Oryzias latipes: one gene and its partners. The protein of the gene in region 2 purifies or fractionates together with the protein of the main gene of each other region. This does not show direct contact. Links are inferred from orthologs where the notes say so. Each region holds a gene or a part of one and is shown on either strand. Other genes may lie near its edges.

What was found.
Region 1: the proteins of pds5a (region 2) and smc3 purify together in Homo sapiens (affinity purification with western blotting; 8 studies listed by BioGRID and IntAct, with this or other methods). This does not show direct contact. The link is inferred for Oryzias latipes from reciprocal best matches to the Homo sapiens genes PDS5A and SMC3.
Region 3: the proteins of pds5a (region 2) and cdca5 purify together in Homo sapiens (affinity purification with mass spectrometry; 4 studies listed by BioGRID and IntAct, with this or other methods). This does not show direct contact. The link is inferred for Oryzias latipes from reciprocal best matches to the Homo sapiens genes PDS5A and CDCA5.
Region 4: the proteins of pds5a (region 2) and smc1a purify together in Homo sapiens (co-immunoprecipitation; 8 studies listed by BioGRID and IntAct, with this or other methods). This does not show direct contact. The link is inferred for Oryzias latipes from reciprocal best matches to the Homo sapiens genes PDS5A and SMC1A.

The regions. Positions count from the first base shown.
Region 1 is NC_019859.2:36,693,134-36,700,318, reverse strand, and holds part of smc3 (structural maintenance of chromosomes protein 3), read right to left. Parts: intron 5,172-7,185; coding exon 5,020-5,171; intron 4,918-5,019; coding exon 4,759-4,917; intron 280-4,758; coding exon 172-279; intron 1-171. UniProt on the Homo sapiens protein: Central component of cohesin, a complex required for chromosome cohesion during the cell cycle. The cohesin complex may form a large proteinaceous ring within which sister chromatids can be trapped.
Region 2 is NC_019859.2:13,082,282-13,090,224, reverse strand, and holds the start of pds5a (sister chromatid cohesion protein PDS5 homolog A), read left to right. Parts: upstream 1-3,965; 5' UTR 3,966-4,094; intron 4,095-4,123; exon of another isoform or gene 4,124-4,312; intron 4,313-4,659; exon of another isoform or gene 4,660-4,678; intron 4,679-4,752; exon of another isoform or gene 4,753-4,769; intron 4,770-4,974; 5' UTR 4,975-5,012; coding exon 5,013-5,126; intron 5,127-7,943. UniProt on the Homo sapiens protein: Probable regulator of sister chromatid cohesion in mitosis which may stabilize cohesin complex association with chromatin. May couple sister chromatid cohesion during mitosis to DNA replication.
Region 3 is NC_019869.2:20,007,095-20,014,224, reverse strand, and holds cdca5 (sororin), read right to left. Parts: upstream 3,348-7,130; 5' UTR 3,229-3,347; coding exon 2,440-3,228; 3' UTR 1,768-2,439; downstream 1-1,767. Other genes in the region: psmb2 (proteasome subunit beta type-2), read left to right, coding at 3,473-3,563, 3,946-4,068, 4,155-4,225. UniProt on the Homo sapiens protein: Regulator of sister chromatid cohesion in mitosis stabilizing cohesin complex association with chromatin. May antagonize the action of WAPL which stimulates cohesin dissociation from chromatin.
Region 4 is NC_019865.2:11,929,765-11,936,949, reverse strand, and holds the end of smc1a (structural maintenance of chromosomes protein 1A), read right to left. Parts: intron 6,426-7,185; coding exon 6,279-6,425; intron 6,148-6,278; coding exon 6,010-6,147; intron 5,922-6,009; coding exon 5,805-5,921; intron 5,724-5,804; coding exon 5,617-5,723; intron 5,536-5,616; coding exon 5,394-5,535; intron 5,297-5,393; coding exon 5,151-5,296; intron 5,070-5,150; coding exon 4,916-5,069; intron 4,831-4,915; coding exon 4,723-4,830; intron 4,588-4,722; coding exon 4,431-4,587; intron 4,342-4,430; coding exon 4,187-4,341; intron 4,083-4,186; coding exon 3,931-4,082; intron 3,837-3,930; coding exon 3,767-3,836; intron 3,655-3,766; coding exon 3,544-3,654; intron 2,972-3,543; coding exon 2,891-2,971; 3' UTR 2,242-2,890; downstream 1-2,241. Other genes in the region: dihydropyridine-sensitive L-type skeletal muscle calcium channel subunit alpha-1, read left to right, coding at 1-59, 233-441, 527-591, 841-893, 974-1,048, 1,171-1,446. UniProt on the Homo sapiens protein: Involved in chromosome cohesion during cell cycle and in DNA repair. Central component of cohesin complex. The cohesin complex is required for the cohesion of sister chromatids after DNA replication.

The DNA of each region.
Region 1 (7,185 bases), about 24 Mb from region 2:
ATTCAAGATTTTTGTAGCACAATCAGTTTGAGGTCAGTCAGCACAACCAGAATTCACACAAACTGTACCGTACACAAGACGCAGCGCTGATTTTAGGAAAAATGTATTAGGTTTAAAGTTTACGTGTCCCTTTTGGTCCAAAGAATACGGTATAAAACTCTCAAAATGTACCTGCTCCACTTGATCCAGTCTCTTCCGTAAGTTCTCATTCAGATAGGTCTCCACCCGGGTCATGATCCCCTCCAACTTGATTCTCTCATTCAGAAGTTGTCTGTTGTCCTGTGAAAACAAACCAACAGTATTTGACCCTCTGATGTTTGCACAAAGCAGAAACTTCCAGACACTGACTCTAATGTGAGGATGACATAACACTGCTCTGTCACATCTATTCTCACCCAAAGTATGAATTATGTCACCAATAATCAGAGAAACAGAATTTACAAGTGGGGGGCAGTGTTATGGGGGTGGGGGCTGTTGTGCAACAACAGTAGGAGGAGAGTGGAGCGAGCAGCAATGAGTTGGGGCAATGCCAGATTCCAGGAGCGTCCCACACACAGCTGCAGCTCTCCTCCATCATCTGAATACACTAGCAGGAGCAGCAGAACCAGAACCAACAATGGGAACTTTATAACAGACGTTTTCTCTGAAACCACGGTCGGCATTGATGGATAACAATACATTTCTAAATCTGTCCCTCCTCACAGGTGCAGGACGCTCTAAGAACAAACAAAAGCTGGCCCTCTCATAGCTGAACACAAATATATTCATCACTTCTGTACTAAAAGCCAATATTCATTAGCAGTAATGAGAAGGATGAGGGGGCTGAAGGAGGATGTTATCAAGTAACTGGGTTGCACTGATTTTGTCTGGAACTGCCGTCATCAAGTTTCAACCTGTAGAGAGCAGGTAACGAAAAACATAAAACACATCGCTCAAAGACAAGACTGAACATGTGAGGAAGATCAGTAAAAAACTCACAAAACCCAAAGGCACTGCAGGGAAAAAATGACTACGGAGCAACAAAGGTGGTCACTGCGGCTATTTACGGAGCAACAAACGTGGTCACTGCGGCTCTTCACGGAGCAACAAAGGTGGTCACTGCGGCTCTTTACGGAGCAACAAAGGTGGTCACTGCGGCTCTTTACGGAGCAACAAAGGTGGTCCCTGCGGCTCTTTACGGAGCAACAAACGTGGTCACTGCGGCTCTTTACGGAGCAACAAAGGTGGTCCCTGCGGCTCTTTACGGAGCAACAAAGGTGGTCACTGCGGCTCTTTACGGAGCAACAAAGGTGGTCACTGCGGCTCTTTACGGAGCAACAAAGGTGGTCACTGCGGCTCTTTACGGAGCAACAAAGGTGGTCACTGCGGCTCTTTACGGAGCAACAAAGGTGGTCCCTGCGGCTCTTTACGGAGCAACAAACGTGGTCCCTGCGGCTCTTTGCGGAGCAACAAAGGTGGTCACTGCGGCTCTTTACGGAGCAACAAAGGTGGTCCCTGCGGCTCTTTACGGAGCAACAAAGGTGGTCCCTGCGGCTCTTTACGGAGCAACAAACGTGGTCACTGCGGCTCTTCACGGAGCAACAAAGGTGGTCACTGCGGCTCTTTACGGAGCAACAAAGGTGGTCACTGCGGCTATTTACGGAGCAACAAACGTGGTCACTGCGGCTCTTCACGGAGCAACAAAGGTGGTCACTGCGGCTCTTTACGGAGCAACAAAGGTGGTCACTGCGGCTCTTTACGGAGCAACAAAGGTGGTCCCTGCGGCTCTTTACGGAGCAACAAACGTGGTCACTGCGGCTCTTTACGGAGCAACAAAGGTGGTCCCTGCGGCTCTTTACGGAGCAACAAAGGTGGTCCCTGCGGCTCTTTACGGAGCAACAAAGATGGTCACTGCGGCTCTTTACGGAGCAACAAAGGTGGTCCCTGCGGCTCTTTACGGAGCAACAAAGATGGTCACTGCGGCTCTTTACGGAGCAACAAACGTGGTCACTGCGGCTCTTTACGGAGCAACAAAGGTGGTCCCTGCGGCTCTTTACGGAGCAACAAACGTGGTCACTGCGGCTCTTTACGGAGCAACAAAGGTGGTCCCTGCGGCTCTTTACGGAGCAACAAAGGTGGTCACTGCGGCTCTTTACGGAGCAACAAAGGTGGTCACTGCGGCTCTTTACGGAGCAACAAAGGTGGTCCCTGCGGCTCTTTACGGAGCAACAAAGGTGGTCCCTGCGGCTCTTTGCGGAGCAACAAAGGTGGTCCCTGCGGCTCTTTGCGGAGCAACAAAGGTGGTCCCTGCGGCTCTTTACGGAGCAACAAACGTGGTCACTGCGGCTCTTTACGGAGCAACAAAGGTGGTCACTGCGGCTCTTCACAGAGCAACAAAGGTGGTCACTGCGGCTCTTTACGGAGCAACAAAGGTGGTCACTGCGGCTCTTTACGGAGCAACAAAGGTGGTCACTGCGGCTCTTTACGGAGCAACAAAGGTGGTCCCTGCGGCTCTTTACGGAGCAACAAAGGTGGTCACTGCGGCTCTTTGCGGAGCAACAAAGGTGGTCCCTGCGGCTCTTTACGGAGCAACAAACGTGGTCACTGCGGCTCTTTACGGAGCAACAAAGGTGGTCCCTGCGGCTCTCTACGGAGCAACAAACGTGGTCACTGCGGCTCTTTACGGAGCAACAAAGGTGGTCACTGCGGCTCTTTACGGAGCAACAAAGGTGGTCCCTGCGGCTCTTTGCGGAGCAACAAAGGTGGTCACTGCGGCTCTTTACAGAGCAACAAACGTGGTCACTGCGGCTCTTTGCGGAGCAACAAAGGTGGTCACTGCGGCATTTTAAGGAGCAACAAAGGTGGTCCCTGCGGCTCTTTACGGAGCAACAAACGTGGTCACTGCGGCTCTTTACGGAGCAACAAAGGTGGTCCCTGCGGCTCTTTGCGGAGCAACAAAGGTGGTCACTGCGGCTCTTTGCGGAGCAACAAAGGTGGTCCCTGCGGCTCTTTACGGAGCAACAAACGTGGTCACTGCGGCTCTTTACGGAGCAACAAAGGTGGTCCCTGCGGCTCTTTACGGAGCAACAAACGTGGTCACTGCGGCTCTTTACGGAGCAACAAAGGTGGTCACTGCGGCTCTTTACGGAGCAACAAACGTGGTCCCTGCGGCTCTTTGCGGAGCAACAAAGGTGGTCACTGCGGCTCTTTACGGAGCAACAAACGTGGTCACTGCGGCTCTTTACAGAGCAACAAACGTGGTCACTGCGGCTCTTTGCGGAGCAACAAAGGTGGTCCCTGCGGCTCTTCACGGAGCAACAAAGGTGGTCACTGCAGCTCTTTACGGAGCAACAAACGTGGTCACTGCGGCTCTTCACAGAGCAACAAACGTGGTCACTGCGGCTCTTTACGGAGCAACAAACGTGGTCACTGCGGCTCTTCACGGAGCAACAAAGGTGGTCACTGCAGCTCTTTACGGAGCTAACGTTTAATCCCCAGATGTTTCAATATTGCTAAAGTCCCACTCCGGTCAACTTTGATCCATTTTCAAAGCGCTCCCAGGGGTCTTTTCATTATGATGAAGCCGTTTTCAGCTAGAATTAAAAACCTGTCGGTTTCTAGGACATAGTTTCTGCAGAGTGGCAGATGTTCATCAAAAATTATCCTCTCCTTTTGTGGGCGAGACTGTAGTGATGGAGAAACCCCACCCACTCTTCCCCTCTCTGTTGCTGAGAGCTCTCTGTTTACACTCTCCCACTAGCTTTCAGCCCCTCGAACCCCAATCTGACATTATGGGGAGTAATATTGGGATTATCCAGCTGTACAGCAATGAGCCAGATAGCAGCTGTTGAAACACAGTCAACTATTCATTCATTCATTCATCTTCTTCCATTGTCCCTTTCGGGTCATGGGGCTGCTGGAGCCTATCCTGGCCACTTATGGGCGAAGGCGGGGGACATCCTGGACAGATCGCCAGTCCGTCGCAGGGTCACACGTATCACACGCCCATTCACTCTCACATTTACACCTTTGGACAATTTGGAGTGACCAATTAACCTATGAAGCATGTTATTGGACGGGAGGAAGCCGGAGACCCAGGAGAAAACCCACGCGTACACGGGGAAAACACGCAAAGTCAACTAATCCTGCATTAAAAATAAGAAACCTACATTAATTTGAGGAAGCATTCCCTCTCCAGTCTCCCACTGTCAATAAACTGAGACACTGTTTTCTCTCTGGTTTCTACCAGTTCCAGTTAAAAGTCCAGTTCTTCTCGGGCCACACAGAACCCGTTTCATGGGCGTACTGGCTGGAGGAGCAGCTCGCTTCAAATACGCCCCCTCTGGACTGTCGGTGAAGTGATGAGCATTTTCTAAAGCGGCCTCATTATATCTGATGCTCATAAGTCAATATTAGTGCACCTGTTAGCGAGACAGTATTTTACGGAGGGAAAGAGTCTGGAGTGCGAACCCAGTAGGCTGAGGTAACTTTCTCGGTGGATTCAGTTTGAACAAAGTGCAACATAAAACAGAACAATTTGAACAGCCAGTTTAGAGCTTTTAAAGGACTTGTTGAGACCCCACTGGAACCCTGGAGACCATGTCTGCCGCTCACAGACTGGGCTACTATATCACAGAGCGCTGCGGTCTAAATCCCCAAAACTGCAGGCTCTCCATCATCGCCAAACACGACGGTTGTTCCTGAAAAAGTCTGGTGGTCATTTTTCTCAAGACCTTCAATGAACGTAAGACACAGACGTGGACGGTTGCATCTGCAGACCTGTTGTAACTGTCGAATCTCATCGTTCAGGTCGTCTACACGCCTCTGGTCCTCAAGACTGAGCTGAGAGAGGAGATCTGTACCCAGTTCAGCCTTCAAGGACTCCCTGGTGGACTCCATGGCATGAAGGCTGGCCTCCAGACTTTGGAGACTGCGTTGCTGCAGAAGGACAGGAATGATGAGTAGCACGAACATGACAAAACAAAGCAACAATGTGCATGTTGACCAAAAGTTTCACTAAGAATAAATGAAGGAAACAACCTTGGGCATAAATGTCTTCTCTGACTGCTGCCTCTTCTCCTTCAGCATCTTCATTTCAGACAGAATACTGTCTCTGGATGCCTTAAACTTCCTCTGCTGGGTCTCGATCTGCTGCATCTGATTCATCAGCTGGTCAATCTCGTTGTTGATGCGTGGAGCAACGGTTAAGGAGAACGACGGATGTGACTGTACCAGCTCCCCCTTAATGCGCCTCCATGGTTCTAATGGCTTACTGGTTTTTCCAGCCTCTACGTCATGTGAAGCAGACAGCTCCTCAAACACGTCCCTGAAGTCTTTCTCCACATCACTCCTACAAATAAAACCATCTCCACAGAGGAAAAATAATGACCAAAACAAACACTAACAACACAAATGTGACAAGCAGCAAAAACACAGAAGGCCTCCTTTTGTCCTCCTTGTTTTTCTAATTAAATGTTAATGAAACCAGCAGACCAGAAGCAACTTCTGTAAAGCAATTATGACCAAATAAATCCCATCTAAGAAGAGTCACGATGCAAAATAACAACAAATAAAAACATGTGATTTCAATCATCTCCAGTCATTCACAGTAACAATGCTTACAACTGTTATGGATAGAGTCAAACCTGATTAGCTGAAAATAGGGAGGATAGTCTCAATCGCCCGTTTATCAACAGGACAGCTGAGTCCTGTGAGCAAGAGGGCTGAATGTTCTGTCAGACTCAACATGACTAGAAAAGACCTTCTATCACTACGTCCTGATTGACATACAGAAAACCAGGTTGAACGGTTTCTTTCCTCTGACGCTCAGTTAAAGAGAAAACCCCACCACACATGCAGAAACCCAAATGAAACCCTCTCTGATCCCCTTGTTTTTTCCTTCAGGAGCTGTCCTGAAATGAGTCATGGTTCTGGCAGATATGGCCCAGGACACACTAATCCTTCTTGACCTGCTTAAGCCTTCTTCCTGCTGGCTTGGAGGCAGCGACATAACTCCAGTGGATGTAATCCCTGTTCAAAATAAAGCTTCCGCTGAGAGAAATCACCCCAGTGATGACGCTCTGCCTTCTATACTCATGAGCTTCCATGGAAGATACCGCCACACGCCACAAACGCAAACGCTGGGACAACTTTCCTTTTCTGCAAATTCCATTTCTCTAACCTGGAGCTAAAGACTTTATATTTTACTAATAGGACTTGTCATCCAAAACCTAAAACACAGAGCAAGTTTTTTGTTGTTGTTAAAAACAGCCTAAATTTTACAGCCAAATATGCAAATGTGACTGTTTGGTGGTCTGTATGCAACAATATAAAACCCAACTGCAGAGTACGACCTTCACAGCAGTTTTCCTCAGTGCATTAAGTGTGTACTTCTCTGTGTGTCGTTTGCCATCGCTCTTTTAGCTCCAACAGCCACATAAACAGACGCCCCCCTCCCCTCAAGAAATTACCAAATCACTAATTGCCCCACCCCAGGGACCAGAGCAGCAGAACTAGTGCTAGCTGCTAGCTCATGCTGAGAACAATGGAGATATTGATGGAGTGGAGACAAATGTTTGAAGCAAATGGTAAATGGCATATGCTTATAAAGCACTTTCTACCTTCTTTCGAAGGCCCAAAGCACTTTACAGTCACAGTCCCATTCACCCATGCACACACACATTCACACACTGAAGACGTGCCCCCGGCACACACATCTGCAGGGTGGAGTTTGCTGTCAAACACAATGAAAGAGGTGTCTGCAGCTTTGCTACACGTCCAACATGAGCAGCATCTCCAGCGTCACCATCCAGTTGTGCCGCAGCGTTAAAGCGGGAGAACCGAGCTGGAAACACGAGCCAAAGAACGGCGGTCTATCACGGAGGCCTCCTAGCAACACAGAGTGCAACTGTTTTCTTCATTATACCTTTGTTTGGTAAGTACTGAAGTACCAGGTACTTCTATACTGAAGTACAAGTATTGATGTTTACAGTAAGTACAAATGTTCGGTGTAATGCTTTTCTACATATAGTCAGTGCTAAGAGTTATGCACAATTCTACCTCTTGACAAGTAAAAATGTTCATTTGTAAAAAAGGGAACATTTTTGGTTCTTTTGTACAGAAATGATTTGCTGCTCAGGAAAAACGTTGCTAAATCTATAAGAATTATTAGTGAATGCACAGAGCCCATTAGAAGTTAAAGAAGAG
Region 2 (7,943 bases):
ACTTCTTACGCATCTCCCACCCCCTAATTGATGGGGAAAGAGAATTAGAAATGAGAAATAAGAAATAGGCTGAGCACGAAAACAAGATGCTGGAAACGCTGATAATTGGAACCTCCCTCTCTGTGAACCGCTGCATGACCAGCCAAATGCAGCATCACAGGCGGTGACCGCTCCACCACAGCAAAGAGGTGATGCAGGTCCCCATCCAGAGCTGCAGTGGCTGAACAGCAGCCGACCCAGAGGGAGAGGTTCCAACTGAGGAAGCACCAGAAAAATAAAAATAAAAAGAGAATGAAAAAGTAAACATATTGATAAAAGCAATAAATAAAACATTGAAATAAGATAAATTTAAATAACACATTAGAATCTAGTGTAAGTTTATAAAACAAGATAAAATGGATAAATTAAAATAAAATAAATAAATAGTGGTAGTAAAAATTTGATGAAAGCCAGGTTAAAAAGTAAAGATAGAAAGTAAAGATAAAAAGTTAAAAAAAAAAAAGTAAAATTTATTAGATTTTAAGTCGTAAATTTATGAGAAAAAAAACTCGTAAATTTACGATATTAAGTGGAAGTGAGCATCATGCAGAGCAGCAGGTGAACGCCGCGCAGCAACAGAGCAGACCCACTCAACGCAGTTGAACAGGTGAGCTGAATGAGCTTGAACGTTCCAAATATCTGGAAGTTCATTTGTTTGATTTACAATTTATTAAAGTTTTATTCATTGATGGTTGGTTTGCAGGATCCCTGCAGCCCGATGAAGCCATCGGTGTCCCTGCAGCTTTCCACTTCAATCCTTTCTTCCTCCACCAAAAACAAGATCTCTACGTTTGTGTGACGCATTTTCAACTTTCTAATAACATAATAGACTATTTTCATTCATCGTTGTTGTTTAATGATATAACGGGACGTTTACTTCCGCATTGGTGTTCGGATCTGATGACAGGTTCATGACGTAAGGTGACAGATGAACTTCAGGGTTTGTGAATGAAAAGGAGAATAAAAGCTGCAGCGATCCTCTGCACCCAAACGTGTCTCTGAGCTCCTTATTTTACAGATGAAACTCCGCTTTACTGACACTGAACCCCGGAAAGCCGGCTCCACTGACAATAATCTGATTTTGAGTCGCCAAAGGTTCAGAATCTCTTTGTTTTAAACCTATAATCCGGAAATAAAGCTTCACAAAAAGCCGCCACATCTTTCATCTTCAAGCGATGCTCCGATAAACGCACAACTTCGGTGTTTTCTCCTTGTTAATCTATGACCTTTTGTAAAAAGAAAAAAGTCATAATTTTCCTTTTTTTTTTTTTTTGGGGTGGCCCTTAAACTCCGTCGTAAGATGGGTCTTTAGCTTTTTCTTAAAAACTTTAATCCGGCTCTCAGGCAGACTGTTCCATAAACGGGGGCCATAGTCAGTGCTTCTCCGTTTTGGTCCTTACGGTCGTAATGGTTAACAGATGAGTGCCAGAGGATCTCAGGGTCCGCGAGGGTTCATACCTTACTAAAAGATTAGATAAATAAGAAGGCGCAAGACCGTGAAGACATTTAAAAATGGTGAAGAACATCTTAAAATCAATCCTGAAGCATGTGGGGAGCCAATGCAGGGATTTTATAGTTGGGGTGATGTGAGCCCGCCTCCTGGAAGACTGGAAGACCAGCAAGCAGGCCGTTACAGTAATCAGTTTTACTCATGATAAAAGCATGCATTAGCATCTCCATATTAACAAAAGAGAGTGGTGGGCGGACCGTAGCCAGATTTCTAAGGTGATAAAAACCAGTTTTAACCACCTGTGTAAGAGTTAATGTTACAGTGTTCGATTTGTGCCACCGTGTCAGTAGGAACTGTTGGGCATTTGGTCCAGGTGGGCTCAGCTGGCTCGCCATCAGCAAACGGAATGAGAATTTTCCCAGGTGGAAAAAAACCTGGCCTGTATAAAACAGGAACAAATACTTTTTTAAAACATTGAATTATGTTTCAAAATCATTCGATGACAATTCGTTTCCTAATATGCATATTTTTCCAAAATTGAATTTATCTGATTAATTACAATCAAATGAATCACCACAACATAATTCACAATAATCAACATGCGAATGATCAATTGTTGATTATATTAGAGTACTCATAATTACATTTATACTAAAAAAAAGTTTCTTATAGTTTTCCAGTCATTTCCTTTTGTGTTTTACCTGACCACAAACCGAGATCAGCAGACGCCTGGCTGCACCAGCTGACACACACACACACACACACCCAAAACGGCGTCACTTACCAGTTAAAGCATAAGAAAAGCGCGCGTAGATTTGACGTCTCAGTGGTGCAGGGCGTTGCAGAGCAAGGACTTTGCCGTTGGCTCCCGAACGTATGTCGCCTGTCAAACATCCCCGCCACTGATTTATAATAGAACATACACGGAAGTTGTCTGTGAAATCACGTTCTGATATATCGCGATATCTCCAGAAAGTGCGTCTGTGTGTGCGTGTGTGTGCTTGTGTGTGACAGCTTAAAGGGACAGTGCAAATTAAAATTCTGAAAGGCCTTTTAATTTACTGCAGTTTCTGGAAAGTGCATTTTTGTACAACAGTTTATGTTTTTTATTTTGTGAGATTTGGAAGCACGTTTTTGTTTTTTTTCATTGTTTTCTTAAGGAATAGAATAGGATAGATTAAAATACAATAGAATGGAACTTTTATCACAGACTAGAGGGCCACATGTCAGCACAATAAACAACATGTAAGTCATACAGCAGAATAAAAATACAAAATTAAAATACAAGTAAAATGTAAATCACAAACTTAGAAACTTAAAAGCTAAATTACTTTAACACCCGCTTGGTCTTGGAACTTTGTGTTTTTAACAAGTTCTTGTGGCATTTTTCTCATTATGGAGGACTATAGAAGACTTTAAGATAAAAATTTCTTCTTCAAATCTGGATGAATAAGGACAATTCAGACGAAAAAAATGCTGTTTAAAAAAATCTCTTTTGTCCACTCCATTCTGATGCATCCACTTAAAAAACAAATACATATATTAACGTCTTTGGTTTCCTCGGCTGAGCTGGTATCTAACTCAAAACTGTACGGCTGGATACCTCTAATATTGCTCACCGTTGTTGCTGCACTGCTAATGCTAGCGTGGGGTTGTGAGGAGCTGTAAAATGGCATTAGAGAGTGTAAACAAAGGGATGATGGGATGTCAGCAGAGGCTTACAACTCGCAACTCAGAGGTGAAGTTCTGATGAACTCCTACCGCTCTGCACAAATTTTATCCTATGACAGAGGCTTATTCTATTTGGTTTTGCATAAAAACAGCCTAATCATCAATAAAGAGCACTGGGGACACTTTTACTATAGACCAAAATGGTGGGACTGGAAGGGCTTCTATACTTGTACCTACAAATTGGGGATGGCTAACAAAGAGGGTTAGAATGATTTCATTAGGATTACATCAATGCACATGTCAAAGGCACATTAAGTCAGATTTTTTTGTACATTCTACTTTTATGTTTTAGTACTTATCTCAATTTAACATTGTCCTGTCTTTTTTTTTTTCTTATATTGATGTTTTTGGTCGGATTCCAGGCAACAGGAAAAAACTTTGAGATGTAAGCAATTTTATTGAAAAATGAACAGGAAATAAATGTATTTGGTTGATTTCTGAGAGAAAATGTATATTTTTAATCTGCATTTGTTTAAAGGATTTAAAGGATTTCTCCAATAATGCAGTGTTGCACTTTGTTATAACCTCTTTCATTTGAAGTAACACATCACATGTGCTTAATTGTAAACTCAGTCGTAGTAGGTATGTCATTGTTCTTCCAAATATGTAAATTTTCCTGGAAGATCCTTCTGTAACCGTAAAACATAATGGATGTCTGTTTTTTGGAGTAAATAAATGATGTTCTTCCGTCTTCGATGAATCCACAGTGGCGCTTTCTCCCGCCATGTTTAGGGAACTGCACCACTCCTTTGAGACCGAGGGGGGCGCTGTGTACTCAGGCTTCACATAGACAGCGCTGACTGAACGGACAGAGAGCTTTGTGCCGAAAAACTAAGCCCAACCTGAATCAGACCAATGAATTAAAACGGCCCAGGTAAATACTTTGGAAGGAACGCTGGACTTGTGTCCCGGGATGCAGCATTTGATGGTTTAAAAATAGACTCATTCTGTATTTGTTAAGGTGTTTAAAATACTCCGTGGGGCAAGTTGTTGAGAGAGAGGAGGGCTCAGGGCGACGGTAGCAGCCCTGCCTCGCCTGTAAACTAGCGGTAGTACGGAGCGATGCTGGGAAGTTGAAAAAGACCTTCACAAGTAAATAACCTCAATTTTCTAACTTCTAAAAGTATCGGCATTAGTTAGAAATCACAGGAATTGAGCAGGATCGTGGCTGTTTTAAACAAAGATGAGACGATACTTCACTTCCTCTGTGATTGTATGTAGACGGAGATGTGATGGGCACCTGAACAGTTTGCGGCCTAGGCTAGCATCGGAGCGCTGCTAATGGGAATTAGCAGCTAACACGACTTCCTTCCCGCAAAATATTAGCCTGTGTTGTTAGCACTTCTAGCTAGCTAATGTAAGAATCAATATGACAGGAGCTAGACACCGGCTCCTGTTGTGTTTTTTGTAATTGCCGTTTTTATCCGGACTGCTTTTATATGTGTGTGTTTTTAAAGTGTAAGCGGAACTCCTTTCCCTATCTAAACGGAATTTCACGAACGATTTGTAAGAGCATAACTGCTGGTGTTTAGCTGGGGAAAATTAGCATGTAAGCTAATAACACACGCGATCCTTCTTCAGTGGTGCTATTTTTGGTCTAGGTGAAGGGATTTAATGTAATTTATCATTTGAATGTTGTTTTAGATCTTTTAAGAGGAAACTACAACGAGTGGCACACACTAGTCTCCCTTAAAGATGTGTTTTAGTAAGTGCGGTAGCATGGTTGTATTGAAGTAATGTTTTTTGACCTATAGAGGCCAGTAGAGACCGTGTGGACTGAGCATCAACAAGCATGGAGTTCGCGCAACAGCAGAAACCCACGGGGGACGGGAAAGTAGTCTATCCTCCGGGAGTGAAAGAGATTACGGATAAAATCAGCAATGACGAGGTGGTGAAGAGATTGAAGGTACGTTGATGAGATTTTACCCTTACGACCTATGACTTTGTCAAAAGTACTCAGCCTGTGACTCAGTGCCAAGATCCTCCTGACTTTGTGAACTTCCCATAAATTCTCTTTCTTTCTGTGTTTTGTAACGAAATCATGTTTTCAGTCTAATGTTGTGGTGCCCAGACTCTATGTTTATGTCAAGGTTTTACCTAAAACTATTCAGTGTTAGAATCCTTTCCTCACATTTATTTTTACACTGAAAGCTCAGTTCGGATGTTGAATAGCAGCAGCAACACTAATACAAATTTGTTTAGCTATTAAATAATGATAATCTTGTAATCTCATTTAAAAACGTCATTTACAATTATGCAGTTTAGCTCAGATCCAAAAACGTATGTTGTCTTCTAGGACATAGTTTCTGCAGAACGACAGTAGTTTATTGAAAATGCACAAGAACATGTTAAAAACACAATTTAACCGGTTAAGACCCCAGAACATGTAGGAATTAACCCTTTAAATATGTAGTCACAGCGCTCCAGTTTAACAAAATTAACTACTGTGGTTGTATTTTTAAAATGTGATGTCCTCGCATGTGATCCTAAGAGATTAAGTGAGAAAAGGGCAAATTGAGATTGTTCAAAACATAAACTTCAAACTGTTTTTTGACATTCATGTTATGAGGACAGGTATTATTTATGGAGAATAAAAAAGCCTATATCTTGTAACAGAGAAATTGTGTCACAGATTTAAAACTAATGGCATAAGCTGAGATCAGACTTTATTGATCCCCGGAGGGAAATTTAGTTGTTACAGCAGCCAAACAAGAAATATAACCGTTAAAAAAACAAATAGCAAGAGAAAAGACAGACGTAGTAGTGAAAAATGGTGGTAAAAGTACACGTCCTAATTGTACAGTTTAACTGCTTTTGGGACAAAGGACCTCCTGTAGCGTTCCTTTTTGTACTGAGGGTGCAGCAGTCTGCGGCTGAACAAGCTACTCGTGGTCCTCACCATCTCATACAGAAGATGAGAGGGGTTGTTCCGGATGCTGGACAGCTTGGTCAGCATCCTCCTCTCACCTACAGAGTCCTCTGAGTCCAGCCCAGGACAGAGCTAGCCCTCTTGACCAGCTCGTCCAGTTTCTTCTTGTCCCTGTCACACACCATGTCATTTATTTGAACACCTTTAAAATTGCTTAAATGATAAAACTCAGAGTGTAGCAATCATGTAACGTATGCTATAAATACATTGTTAAAGCTGACTGACTTTTCCATTGTCCGAATCAGACTGGTATGTTAGATTTTGAGAATTTATTGCTTCTTGTTGTGCTTTCTTGTTTATAGTTTAGTTAAAAAAAGTGTGTATCTTATGAAGTCCCTTCCTAGACACATTGACAAACCAAACCACCTTTTCAGTTCAAATTTTCACCATAGTATGTTAAGTTTTTAATCAACTAAAGGCTAGTTTTCATACAAACACTCACTGTAATAAGAGGCTACTTACTGGTTAATGCAGACTCTCCCTGTCTGCCTTGACTCTATGTTCTAAATCATGGGTCCCCAAATCCAGGCCTCGAGGGCCGGTATCCTACATCAACGGTCCCCAAACCCCGGGCCGGGGACCGGTACCGGTCCGTGGGTCATTTGGTACCGGTATGGTAGGGTTTCTGGAAAACCAGCAGGACACCGGCCCTCAAGGCCTGGATTTGGGGACCCCTCTTCTAAAGGGAGGGGGTGTCCCAGTTTTATTGTGGAAGAAGGGAAGTGCTATAGCCTTTCAAAAGAATTTAAAGTTTTGTAGTTGTATGCAAAATGAGAGACATTAAGAAACTTTTGTTTTTCAAAGTCCTCTTTTGATAAAATAATTCTTCATTTATCTAAAATTTATCAGTAAATTGAAGATGGAGTACCTTCAGATCAGAATATTGAAAGCAAATTCAAGACTTAGTTTTAATTTTTGCATTTTTATCCTGTCATTCTCCTATTAAAAAGAGTGCTAAAATGTGTGCATAAGTCTCTACATCCTGTCTGTGAAACCCGAAGATCTGGATTAAGAATCTAATAATGCTAGCCGTCCCTGTAAGACATATGTGCACTGTTTCATGTTAAACTCTGTACTCGACAGTTGTTCTTCTGCATTTGCATTCAGCCTGCATAGAAGCGCTTCAGTCACACATTAAACTAGGAATATGAAATGCTTTGCATTTTGCAGAATTCTCTTCTTTTTGTTTTTTTTAAAGAACGCTATGGATTTAATCAGTAATCTCTTGTGTAAATTAAACAAAGGTAGTAAACGTGATGTGAAAGGATGGTATACTTGCACTTTATAAATATAAAATAAAAACAAACTGAACTTTAATACAGCATTTGCAAGAACAAACAAGATTGATTTGGGAGCCTTTTGTTCAGTGACGTTTCTCAGTTTTTAAATGGATTATGGCATTAGAGAAGAGTCAAATGTCATTTGATTTGCCAGTGTTACATTTACAGCAGTAGAAGTTGTTTTCATAAAATGCAGACTAACTGGCAGGATCCTTATGCGACGATCTGGTTTGATGCCAAAAGTGATTTGCAGATGGAAGCGGCTACATCTGGGCTTAAAAAACAACAGCAGGCAAAGCAATAGAAGCAGACACCGTGACATAACATTATTTTGCTGAAAATTTCATTTCTGCCAGAGCAACAGGAAATGAAACATTGAAAACATAAATACACCATGTATCTACGTTATGACTCATGTCTATGTAAATGTTTGTGCACGTTTACATGAAATGCTGCGATTCATTTCTTTTGGTTATATTTGGTACCCGGTGTAGAGAACTGAAGTCCTTCAGTG
Region 3 (7,130 bases), on a different chromosome or scaffold from region 2:
TGGGGTTTGTGGAAATTACCAAAAAGAGCACAACTATTGGAAAAATAAATTACGGTATATTTTTCCACAATGCATATCTATAAGTCAGTATGTACCCAGGAGAATTTCTTTGGACAGGTGACACAAAACTGGAAACATCTTCTTGTTGTTCTGAAGACTGACTCTACTGTGAAACACGGAGGAGGCTCTATTATGGTCTGGGCATCTGCTCCTATCGATGCTTCACTTAGAGTGTCAAAGCTAAAAAATGATTGTAAAGTCAAGTTCGCAGGCGGGGAGTCAAATTCCTGTATATTTTTAATTGTTCCTGGAGACCTTGTCAAGATTGTTGTTGGGTTGAAGTTCGTGTCAAAGGTGACACTCTAGGTGAGACCTAGAGTTCGTGACCCGCAAACGGCATCATACTACATCAGAAACGCCGAAGCGAAGGCCGGACAAGTGCAACACGGCAAGGAAGAGCTGGCTTCAGCGATTGACATGTCGGCAACAGCTCGGTTTTGATGGATTTGACATCAATCCCGCTGCGAAGCTATTAACACGTCATTAAAAAGCAGGCATTTCACACCTTGACAGCTGATCCGAGGAGCTTCGGTTAGTGAGATGAGTCTTGTTAGTCTGGATGACACCCTGCTCTCCTCAGAGACCTAAGAGGGAGGAAAAAACTTCTGCACTCTCATTAAGTCAGCAGTTTGTCATCGCTGGAGAGAGCGGGGGCTAGTTAGAATGCTTTGTGAAGCCTGTACACACAAAAAGACACAAACTCATGGAACAGTGACACTCTGGTGTTTTGACCTGATTCAGTTTCCAGTCAACAGTTTTGTTCTCATTGATTCGACCGGCTGAGCCGTCCCAGCAGCACCTCTGCAACCACAGCGGTGTGGGAACTGGACGGTCTTCAAGTGTCTGAAAGTCACAAACAGCAGATGATAAAAGCCGGGAATTGATGAAAAGAGAAACGTTTGTTCAAAATATTTGATAGATCTGTCAATCACTTGTGATTTTTACTATATTTTGTCACTTCGTGTTTGTGACTTTCAGGGCTCAAAATTTTAAAAGCTGCCTGAAAAACCCCCAAAAACCATCAGTCTTTGCGTCACCTGAAAACTCCAATCCAGATTTTTTCTTTGTAAACAGGAGCAGATGAAAAAAAGCATTTTTTTCTGTGTGAGCATTTACGTGTTTATCTTAATTTTCTCTTAGTAAGATTTACATATTTCTTTATCATCTGATCATTTTGTGACTGTACATCTAAATTCATTTGATGCATTTGGTTTTATTTTTTCGCTTGAAATAAAAGTCCTGATTCTAGACTTTTGCTGCTATAAGCAAAACTGTATAATTTAGTTGGATATTATGCAAAAAAACGATTTTGATTGGTTATAGGGTTACAGTTGCTTTTGACCTTTCACCCTCAGTTTTTTTAATTGAAAGGATTCAAAGTTTTTTTTTTGTCATATGTACAGTTAGAAAACGGGTTTTCATGCTCGCTCTGATTGCCATAAGGTTAAATTAAACATAGAGTAGGATATTTACAGTACTGATCAATTTCAGAGCTTCACAAAAACAGTTTGAGACAGGATCTGATGAAAGGCCATTCAAGGCTTTTCAGTTGAATTCTTTAGCTATGTTATAGTTTATTTGTTCATATTTCCTGTGTCATCTCCTTCTGCAGCTAGTTGATATTTCACTGCAAAGTTCTAAAAAATTGTTGTTTAATATAATTTAAAACTCTTTAACTGTACAAATAAGGGTAAACAAAATAAAGTGTATGTTTAAAAAAAGATGTTTGCTTTTATTCAAATACACAGAACAGAAGAAATGTATTTAAAAGACACATATAAGATATAAACAACCTTAAATGGATTTCTCTTAAACTAGAAAGAAAAAACAAAATTAAAGAGGAAAAAGTGCTGGTTACAGATGCCATGTACTTTATTTTTCTCTAAAAACATTTGGGAAAGTTAAAAAAAAAAGAGAATCCAAACTGCAGAATAAAAGCGTCTCCAGTCAAAACCTTTAGGATAAATGTTTCTAAAGTCCAATCGTCAGAATAAAAGCTTTTTATCTTCAAACTTCAAAGTAAGAGCTGTTCAGCACCAATTTTACGACTCAAAGCTTTTTATCTCCAGACTTTTGCATAAAAGCTTTCAAGCTTCATTTCAGAATAAAAGCCTTTTAGCTCCAAACGTAATTCTTGGGGAAATGCTCCTCAGTAAACGGTTTTAGCACTTAAATTCTGCCAAAGGATAAAGTCCGGTTTAAATAAACCAAAAAAACTGAAGTTACAAACGACTAGCAAATGTGATACTGAAAATGTATTTAAAAACTATTTCACACCAAGTGAAGGAATAAAAATATCTGGACATTTTTAACATTTTCTTGAATTATTTTTATCACAGTCCTTGAGAAGCTTCCCCTGGGCTTGAGTAGAGCCAGTTTCTACTCCACCACCAGCTCAAACTCCTCCGCCTCCTGGAACTCCGCGTTCATCTGGGCGACCAGAACGTCCAGCTCCACGCCGTCGATCGGCGCCACCTTCTTCCGCCTCCTCTTCCTCTCCTTCACCACAGCCACTCCAGGGATGTTCGGGTCCGGTTCGGCCGCACCGCCGGCGTCGGTATCGAGCAGAGACGTGAAAGAGTTCAGGGCAGAAATGGAGGAAAGCTCCAGAGCGCTCCTGGACTGCCCTGCCGCCCGGTTCACCTCCGGTGTCTGCAGATGCTGGAAGCCGAACAAAGTATCGCGAGAGTCCGGGCTGTGGAGGGACTTGTCGCTCAGTCTGCTGTAGGAGCGGCGCACCTTTCGCGCCCATTCTGCGTCCTCCGGGGTCGCTGGCGGCTTTTCTGCGGGGTTTGAGGTCGGCGGGGAGGAAGGCAAGATCGGGGACGGCATCGAGGCCTGTTTCTTCTTCTTAGCCGAAGAGATGGCGGAGGCCCTGCGGTCTGGGACCAAGTCAGGAGTGGACACCTCTTTTTTCTGCCCTAGTCTGTTGCTCGTTCGCCGTGGTGTGTTCTCCTTGTCCTGCTCCGCGGAGGTAACGGTTTTTCTCGGAGCTATTTTCCTTAGAGTGATGGACCGTTTCACCGGGACGGCCTCCAGCGCGGCCATGTTTGTGTCAATCTTCCCCGGCGGTTGCAGGGTAGAACTTAGCCGCGGCGAACGCCTCCGCGGCGGGTCTATGTGTCGGTTGGACTCCACCATCACGCTGTGAGTCTCCCCTTCCTTCATGGTCAACACAGCTTGGCTGTAACCTCAAAATTCCCCCGATGACGGACGCCCTCCGCTCGGTGACACACAACAAAAACACTCCCGCGTTTCAAATCGCCCGCCCAAGTCGCGCGGTTTGACGTCACCAGTATGCGACAGGCAGCTAGCTGAACTTTTGCTGTGTAATATTCTGAGCAGACCCGGCTGTCCGCGGCTGCTTCCTCGAATTATTCTTACATTTTTTTGTTTATTCGCGTTTTTCACGATGGAATATTTAATCGGAATCCAGGGACCAGATTTTGTTCTCGTCGCCGCCGATAATGTGGCCGCCAGCAGCATAATCCAAATGAAACACGGTAAAGTAGCTCGTCGTTAGCTGTAGCATTAGCCGCTCCGCCGATTTTTATTTTAGATTTAGGGGGGTAAAGTTCAAAGCGTTTTGAGATTTTATCTGGTTAAATCAAGCTTTTATTTCCGAATTTACAGTTAATTTGTTGTTGGTTTCTTATACTTGGCCACACTATATCAAATAATCGAACCAATGAAACTAATCTGCGTTCGATTTAAATTATTTTTGCGGATATTTGCTTAAAAATCGGTGCAGTTTTGCTCCCGATTTGAGTTTTTGGTGTTTTTCTGTATAATTGGTTTTGTTCTAAAATTAGCAGATTATGCAGCCTCATGCAGGCTAACTGTGAAAGTGAAAGTTCTAAGGTGTTTTTTTTTTTGATCCACCAGATTATGATAAAATGTTCAAACTGAGCGAGAAGATCCTGCTGTTGTGCGTGGGAGAAGCAGGAGACACGGTGCAGTTTGCTGAGTACATCCAGAAGAATGTCCAGCTCTACAAAATGAGGAACGGTAGGATGGAAACTACACAGAGCAGCTGTCTGTGGTTCATCAGGGGATCAGAACAAGTCATTGATGAAACTTTTTCTCCCCTAAAGGTTACGAACTGAGTCCATCTGCAGCAGCAAACTTCACACGGAAGAACTTGGCAGACTACCTACGGAGCAGGGTAACCATGCATGAGAGCAAAATACACTTTTAGCATTTAAAGATAAACATTTCCTGAAACTGAACACTAGAGAAACATTTTGAATTTTGTACTCGTTTTCAGGGGTGTTGCTTGAATTAACTTTGTTAGGGAAACGTATTAGGGCCCCATGGACGGATGTCTTACCCAATAGCATCTCTAACACTCACAAAAAGATGTGTTCTTACTAAAATTAAAAAAAAAAAAAAATCAATTTGAAAGCATGTAATTCCAAAAATGATTGTAAAAATTAACAAAAAGAAACATGTAGGGGTTTTATTATGAGATCTAACAGAACAACAGGATACAATTTTGTCAGAAAAACACATATAGCTACTATATATATATATATATATATATATATATATATATATATATATATATATATATATAAAATAGGAAAACTACATTGATTGGTGGTGGTTAAAAGTGTGTCAAGATTGCAAGTGTTTGTGTCTTCTGTTGCAGCTTGTGAGGAATTCATCTATTCACATCTAATCTAAAACATAATTTGTGTAATCCTGCCTAAGTGACCCTTTCCTGCTCATGTGGACTGAACTGCACTGTCAAAAGGAACCCATTTGAACATCTGCCACACTTGTGGCGTTCTCCCCCGTCTTTGACCCTCACGTTAACGTCTGCAGCTTTTCCCCGTGTTCATCCAGGAAAAGCGACTGTGTGAACAGTTTAATTTCTCCTCTGAATAAATTACATCCATCCTCTAGGAACAGCAATCTCATATTGCTTCAGGAAAAGTGCCGATAAAAATCAGTAGCTAATTCCTGTCAAAGTCATCGAGCGTCTGAACTCATCCAGTTTCAAAGTTTCTTCAAAATATTGAAGTTCGGATAGATTTCAGACAGAAATCTACCAAAAAGAAGATTTTTATCCTGTAGATTAAAAAAAAAATTCACACACTGTGTCACATTTCCCAAGTCAGGTTCTAAAAAATACATTTTTAGGAGAACATCTACATCTGTGGCAAATGAAGATGAGCTACAGATGTATAAAAAGAATGTTTCCAGAATGTCTGAACGCACCTGGTAATTAAGATATACAGCAGAAAAATCAACCAAAGCATTAAACGCTAAATAATGGAGGTCCCTCCTGAAGTTTACAATAATGAATCACAGCTTTGAAGTCACATACGTTGCTTGTGAATCCAGAAATGTCTGCATCGCTAAAATCCACAGAAACTGATTTGCGCTGTGAAACATAAAAACCATCATGTGGTGTTCTGCACTCTTAATCACCAAAACCTCAGCGAGTCCGATTTAGTCTCTCATCCAGAAAAGGTTTTGTCAGATGAGCTTTGAACGTTTTTCCTCCTCGATTCTGTTTCCAGTGTAAGGAAACCCTCAGGTCTAGAAACCAATACCATTTTAGTTTAACAATTTGGACAAATCTTTATAGCTACTCAGTGCTGTCCTTGTGCCACTGGTTTCTAAAACCAGTGTAATTTATTCAGCTTCTTCACTATTTCCCCTTTTTATTTTTAAGAACTATGTTAACATTTTTAGTGCGTTTTTCATTGTTTAGGGAATTTTTTTCTTCATTTTAGTAAATAATTGTATGGGGAGGTTAGTATTTATATCTGCAAATCTGTTTTTTTTTATTGATTATGCAGCCTCTACGGGTATTTCTTTCTTATACATTTATGTTTTGAGCAGATATAGTTTTTATCTAAATCTGTATTTTTCCCTTTTTTTGTGCTGAATTGGTTTTTGTGGAATCTCAAAGGTGAAACTTAACCCAGAAAAAATGTGCCTAAGATGATGAAATAATGGACGTTGGTAGCAGTCTGCATATGTTTGACAGTAATTTTGGATGTCCGGAGGATGTTTTTCTACCAATTACAGCAGATCAACCTTCAGCTTTTTGCCTTAATTTGTTTCAATGATTTACTTTTCAGCTTTTTGTTTTGCTAATTTATTGCCAAAAGTACCTTTTAGTGAAGATATTGTGGATTTTTGCATCATTTCACAGGAAATTCTTTGTTTTTTTTATTTTAGCTAATTTTCTCAGATTTTAGAAGCGTCATCAATGAGCTGTTGATTTGTTGCGATGCGAGACGGAAGGAGCGTCCAGATCTTGATCCGTGTTCTCCTGTTGCCACTCGTATGTCGGATTGGCGGCTGCGATTCATTTGGAGCTGCGCAGCCGCCGCCTGTCACAATAACAAAGGGTGAAAATAATTACGAAAAACAATTAGTGTGGCAGAGGAGGGAATGTGGGACACACCGAGTGGAGGGGGTGGGGGGGCCTCCGGGGGTGGGGTGGCAGAACACAACAGCGCACAGACTGAAGTGTGAGTGGGAGTTGGCGTGCACACCGCAGGGACTTCAGGAGCAGGTTGGGTTTGTTCAGTCAAGGTTGAACAGACTGAGGAGGGGATCATTGATATTCAAACTCAGCCGTTATTTTTCCTGCCTCACGGTGATCGGCTCGGATTTCCGCGATATGGCGTCCTCAGGAGTGCCGGAGGAGACGCAGCCGTCCGCGCTCCTCATCCCACACTGTCCCGCAGCTATGCCCGCTCTCCACCAACCTCCGGAGCGCGGCTGCAATTCACTGCGGTGTACAAACAGCTTTTCATGAAAAACGCGTGGAATTTCAAACATGGAACATAGAAAAACAGCTTTCTAACATCAAAATGATGAGGTTTTTTAAACGTTTCCTTTTTATAGAAATTTCAATGCTTTTGTTTTATATTTTAAAAGACAACTGAAAAAGAGAAGTTCTCTGAAACTCTGATAAAAGTCAAGGTACTGCTGATGCTGGTTTGTGTGTTCAAGTGTGTGTGGTCGCCAATGTTGTCCCCCTGCGACTGCAGACCTCTGGGAGTTGTAGTTCTTTGCAGCCATGCCGTGCTCACATGCAAAACAAC
Region 4 (7,185 bases), on a different chromosome or scaffold from region 2:
AGGACCAGGAGGAAATGGATCGGGCTCTAGCAGGGGCCGGAGAGGAAGCCATCTTCCAGGTGCAACAGATGCTCCGCAGTGAATGACACCTAACAAACAAAGCATGAACTTCACTAGAAAATTTAAAATATAAGCTCAACATCTGAAACTGCAGACAAACAAAACTGTCCTAAACTTTAATCTGTTCCATAGAAATGATGATTTCTCGACATTTTGGCCTTGCTTTTTCCAGCGCTCACACGGTCTCTTTGGTAACCAAGTGGACTCCTTCTCTGAAGAGCCGGCTAACGCTCAGCAACCTCAGATGACCAGCCAGCGGCCCCTGCAGTTCTCTGAAAGCCAACCCGAGTCTCCTCCAAACTCCTCTGCCTTCCTGACCGACACAGCATTCTTCCCCACAACAGCACCAGGGAGCAACACAAACAACAATGCCTTTGCAGAGTGAGGCCTGACTGCTGACACACTTCAGCCCACTTCATCGCCTGACTTTACATGACGAGTTTGTGTTCTCTACTCATTTGTTCAGATTTAATTTTGAGAGAGAAGGCAGTCCAGAAGAGTTCTACAATCCGTATGAGGATACAGAGCCAGGTGTGACTCAGAAACACGCTGAAACATTATGATCACTTCTATAAAATTGATGTACCGGTAAACATCAGTTTTCTGCTTTTTATTTTTGGACTCCACTCATGAATTTCTTTAATAAAGTCTCACAGAATATTAAGATGTAGATTCTGTAAAGACAAATGGACCTAAAAAGTAAAATGAAACCAAATGTTTGTATAAAGAATCTCTTATTATTTTAAAAATCGTATTCACATTTTTGTTTTCCTTTTTCAGACATTAGACGCTCCTGGAGATTTCCTGTCAGCTCAGACAGAACACAGGTAAACGTACAAAAAACAAACAAAAAAGCAGATTGATTTCTCTATGGAACTAAAATGGCAAACTCATGAGTGTGATTTCGTCGCAGTTTCCTTATGATCACAGCTACGGAGACACCCAGAATCCAAGCTCCAGTACAGCAGCTGATCAACTCTTCCAGGAGGTGAATTTTTTCCCACTTCTGTTTCTTATTTTGACATTTGTGGGAGGAGTTTGAGCTTAATTTACTATTTGAAAAGAAGAAAAAGGTGTGAATCCCAGTGTTGTTTGCCTGCTTTCCCCCAGGTTTTTGTAAAAGGAGGTGCTGACTCCTTGGCCAGAAACCCAAGCTTTGATTCTGTAACAAAGAAAGAGATGGCTGCAGATGAAATGGAAGGGACAGCTCAGGACGTCGTCATGGAACGCTCCAAGAAAAAGAGACGTCCTGTCCCTGCCCCCCCCACAGCACCTGCTGCTGCTGCACAACACACAGGTCCGCCGGATCCGGCTGTTCGGAGAAAGAAACGTCCAATTCCCACAACTGCTTGCCAGAAAAAGTCAGACGCAGATTCTGCAGTTTAGAGGCTGGTTATGTTAGTGTGGTTGAATTGATGACAGTTCTACTCATAACATTACGAAGCTTGATGTCCCATTGCTCGTCTGTATTCGTTAGCCTGGCTCAAGGCTGAAAGACAGATGGACAAACATGGGAGAAGCTCAATAAAGTAGAAATTTGATAAAGCTTCCTTCTGATTTTGAGAGCTTAACTATACCTTTATTCTTGGAGTAAACATTTAGGTTTATTCATTCCACTGAAGAGACAATTATGAGAAAACGGCGTCTTACTGAAGACTCAGGGAGGGAGGCAGGACAGTGAAGAAATGTCTACTTAGAGTGTTTCTACAAAAGTCAGCAACTTGTAATGAGCTGCACTTTGAGGAAAAGTTTTACGATGAATGTGGAAGAAATCTAAGAGGGGACGTGGTGCTTATGTTAGGATGTTTTCAACTTGAAATTTGTTTCCTCTGCAGAAAACTAGTAATTTTTATGTAATATGAGCAAATAAAGTTGTTTATAGTAGCCTGAGAAAAATGTTTTGCACTCATTTCATCTTTGGTACTGAAATGCTGACCAGTTAGCAGGGCTTTTGTCGTTTTTTTCTGTCTGCCACTGTGCCCGTTTGGCTGGAAATACTGCTAGCTTTGAGCAGTTCCTCCTAATAAAGGCTCACTTTGTGCCATTTGATGTCACTTTTGCGCTTTCACACGCAAAACATAAAACAAAAAACAAGTTTGTGTGTTCTTTATGAATAAAACCTAATGAGACTTCCCCTTCTAAATTAAATTGTAATGCAGTAACAGATACACGAAAACAAGGTTAAATTATTCAAATTATATTTATTGAAGCAATCAATCAAAGCAGACATGTTTGTTTATCAAAAGCTGACTCGCTGTTCCTCAAACACAAACAAGACTTGTGGTAATCGTCCAGCTGGAAGATTCTCTCCATATTTAATGTCTGCTTTATGCAGATTTGCTAAGCTTTGTTATCTAATTCAAGGGCTGCCAGCTGAAGCTAATTAAATGTTTATTTCATTATCACAAGGGAATGTTTCTGCTGCACTAGAAAAAAAATAGCACACATGAAATGTAAATGCCTGCTGGTATAAACAAGAACATAGAGGAGATTTCAGGAGCATCACTGAAATTCGGCGCCATAAGCCGTATAAAAGTCTGCAAACGTGTTAACCACAGAACTCTGGAGCTGGATTTCACTTCATGATAACTTTTGGTTAAACCATTATGGCCGAATTGAAGAAGGGCTGCTTTAAGATAATGTATGTACATGTTGATTTTTACTGCCTACGAAGAAAATACCTACAATAAAAAGACACGTTTATCACACTAGCATATATAAAAAAAAACACAGAAAAGGAAGAAAAAAAACAGGAAAAGAAATCCAGTACATGATTTGACCTCAGAGCAAAACATCCAACTTTCAAAATTGTTACATAGAGAAGCCTGAATTATTCATTTGGATTGGGATTGGCATCCTGATACTGGGAGAGGTCAAAGGTGAGCACCTTGCTGATGACGCAGTCTCCTTGCTGTGAACAGACAGAAAATGTAATTTGTGGTTTTAGTCTAAGGTAACAGCAATTAACTCTGCTTAATGCAGTGCCTCTAAAATAATCATTCTGTGACAGTGGTCCCCAACCCCTGAGCCGCTGGCCGGTACCGGTCCATGGGACAGTTGGTACCGGGCCGCAGAGAGAGAACAAAATAAACAACTTATGATTTTTATCTGCTTTGTTTATAATATGATTCTACAGAAATTTTTATTTTGGAAAACTACTGGATTCTCCCAACCACATCCGACTCATTCTTAGCGTAATTCAAGTCGCTCGATCACATCTCAAAAGGCCATCGGCTACTGGCTAAAGTTGAAACCAGCTGCAGATATTTTACAAAGGATAAAGATAAAATTTACCCTCAAAAATTGAGGGAAACTGGAGGCTAAGAAAATATTGGATACTACTTCAGCCTCCTACAGGCCAGTCCGTGAGAATATTTTCTGATATCAAACTGGTCCGTGGCCTGAAAAAGGTTGGGGAGCACTGCTCTACGGCACTCATCTATTTGCATTAGTTATTTGAAAAGTAATGATAAAAAACCGCACCTCTGGATAGACACCAATGAGAGAATCTGCCTTAGTGTAGAACTCCTCCTTCAGAGAAATGACGATGGCCTGGAAGTTCTGCACAGACTGGTCTTTGATGTAATTTGCCACCTTTAAGGATAAAAAGAAATCCCAGCTTCAAGATGAGCAACAAGAATGAAAAGTTTCAAGAGAAACAACACTGAATAAGAAGCAGAAAGCAGTGAATCAAACATGAACAGACCTTGCCAATATTAGTGTTGTCCAGAGCGGCATCAATCTCATCCAGGACAAAGAAGGGGGCCGGTTTGTAGCTGCAGACACGAGGGAAGGACGTCCAAAAGGGGATTATTGTTTTACAAGAGGATGACACATGTTCTGTGTTTCTGGATTCTCAATTTCAATCACCTGTGAATAGCAAACAGCAGAGCCAGAGCAGCAACAGTCTTCTCTCCTCCAGACAAATTATCCATGGGTCTGAACCTTTTTCCTGGAGCCACACAGTTATAATTGATGCCGTCCAGATACGGTTCTTCTGGGTTTTCTGGGCCCAGGAAAGCCTACAGGGGAAGATTTAGGAAAAAACGTTGTTTTACAAGTATTTTTTACGAGTATAAGTATTGTACGAGTGGAATCATGTATTGCGTGCTCTAAGGAAACTTGCCTGGGCGCTGCTGTTGCGAGACAGTGCCTTGTAAATCTCATCAATGTTGGTGGCCACGGACTCAAAGCAAGTGTTAAAGCGATCGAACCTCTCCTTCTTGATTTGCTCAAAGGCCTGCTTAGCTTTCTTAGCCCTCTTACGAGCAGCTTCAAACTCTGAAGAAGAAACAACAAAATGAGTCAAATGTATCCCCTTTCCCATAAGTTATTTGACAACAGTCTAAAATCTGACAACTCCCTCTCACCATCACTGGTCTCCTGGAACTTGTCCCTGACACTCTCAAGCTTTTCCATGGCCTTCATGTTGGGAGCACTGATCCTCTGCAGGATGCTTTGCTGTTCATTCAGACGCTGCTGGAGTGTGTTTGTCTCCGCCTTGATCTCCTCTTCTGACAGAGCATCCTACGGGGTGCAAGGATGCGTGTTTATGTGAAATTTACAAAAAGAATCACCATAAACAAATAAATAAGATTTAATGTGCTGGCATGGAGAATGAGTGTCTTGGCTCCACACAGACACACTGTTTAGACGTTTTACCTTAAGGTCTTCAGACAGGCTGCTGTAATCGATCTCAATAAGAGCTTCTTTAGCCAGAACGCTGCTCGATGTCCTCTGACTGCTAGACTCGTCGGTCTGAGAGCTTCCCTGCAGCCGCAGAGCAAAAACAATGTTTTCCCGTCTCTTTCTCAAATCCAGTTAAAGTGACAGAATGAAGACCATGTCCGTGTACCTCTCCCTGGCTGATGTCATCCATAGTTCCTGAGCGAAGGGGCAACCTGATGTCCTGCATTTTGCAGGCCTGCAGCAGGTTGTGGCGGTCGCTGCGCTTCTGCTCCAGTTTGGTCTCGATGGCTGTCACCTCCTTTTGGAGCTGGGTCAACTCTCTGGAAACAAAAAGAAAAGGTTTGTGGTGCAATACAAAATAACATTCTCACACTGAGGAAATGCTAAATCTAGCTACAAACTTGTTAGCGCCTCCAAGTTTTTTGCGAATTTCTTCCATTTCATGGTTTTTATCGTTGACTTCAGATTTCTTGGTGAGGTGCTGGTTTTTCAGATCCTGTAGCTGAGCCATTGTCTCATCGATGATTTTCATGTGCCTGTGCTCCTCCTGAAAACAAATCACACAAAACAATTTCACATTTAAGTTCAAATGAATCTATTAGCAGAATAAATGACAATTTCAACTTTTTACTAAAGATTGCTACCTTCTTTAGTCGCTCTATTTCCGCTTCATCCTTCTTAACAGTCTGCTCCCACATCATGACCTTCTCTTGATCTTCCTTCAGCTGGTTCTTCTCATAGTCCACCTGGATGCCCAGCCGAGTTTTCTGGGTCTCAAACTCAAGACTGAAGAATAAAAGTGTCAGATTAAAAGAAGGAATCAGGACAGCTGATCATCCACAGAACTGACGGGACAACAGAACTCACCGTTTCTTGGCAATCTCATTCTGCCTCTTTACTTTCTCCTCCTCAAATTCTCTGATGTTCCTCACTCCAATCTCTTTGCAGAACTCAATAAACACCTCGTCTTCCACCTGAGAATCAAAGACAAAGAAGTCGGTGCTCTGCATGTTTCCAAAAGGATTTCTGAGTGAACTTCAGTCTCTTAGCCTTACCAGGTTCATCCGATCGCGGAGGTCTGTGATTTCACGCTCACGGGACTGGATTATCCTCTTAATGTCATTGATGCGAGGGCCGAAGTTTGCAAGCTCGCTCTCTAGCTTAGACTTTTCCTGCAGGACACACAAAAAAAAGAGAGTTTGATGCAACACCAATAGTAAACGTGCAAACAATGCAAACTTTATCACTACCAGAGTGTACCTGCATGTTGAGGGAGAGGTGTCGAGTTTTCGTCTGTTCCAGATCACTCTGAGAGTACTTCAGCCTCATCTGCAGCCCGTGAGCTTGAGACTGCACCTGTCGCAGCTCTGCCTCCTTCCTTTTTGCTTTCATTTGCTCCTACAGAAAGATGAGATCTAAAGTTTGACAAACTGAAGTCTGTGAGAACGTCCAACAGCTGTTCACAGCTGGATCAATACACCCAAAACACCCGGAATCAAACATAAAAACTTGCAGGACTAAAAGTTAACCTTAAGCTCTTCCGTAAGTTTTTCCTTTTTCTCTTTGAGTTTATCGACTGCCTTCTCATCCCAGCGTCTGGCCTTGGCTTTCAGGTCGCTCGCTCCTCCAGAGATGACTCCAGACTTCTGGAACAGAGTTCCATCCAGAGCGACGGTCTGGAAGGAGTAGACAAAAGGAGAAAAGCAGTCTTCACAAATGGATCCTCAGATGGACCAACTTTAGTTATTATTATAATTTATTATACTCAAAAGCAGATTTTAAAATGCCCAAGGATACCATAAAGAGTATGAACACGTACAACACACAATAAAATTCGGCACAAAACAAAGCAAAGACGGTGCAGATCAAATCACAGAGAGAAAACTGGAATGGGGGAGTTTGAGACTTCAACTTGAAGTAAAACTGAATCATGTTCTGGACTTCAAGATTTAAAGAGCAGAAGAACTGAAGGCTCTGAGGGGGGCAGAGGGAACAGTGAGGTGATGGAGGCGGAGTACCTGAGACAAACAGGAGGGAATGGAAATGAGGAGGAAATTCTAAAGGGTTTGGAAGAGTGGGATGTTGAGGAGTAGGATTTTATATTCTTTTCTTTGAAAAACTGGGAGCCAAAGCAGATGATGTCGAACAGATGAAGCAGTGAAAAGGAGGGTTTATTGTTGTGATATACATTACTGAGTTCTACACCAGCTGGAGTTTATGGAGAGATTTTTGGGGAAGATGGGGGACTTACAAAACTCACGATGGGAAGTAGCAAGGTTGAGACATTGATATTACATGTGTGGAAATAACCTGTCCGAGTGACGTTGCTCATGTGAGAATGGAAAGATAACGTAATGTCAAGAACAAAACTTCAACTAAACTTCACCCAAAGAGAAGGGAGAATGAAGAACCATCAGAATTCTGAGAAAAAACTTT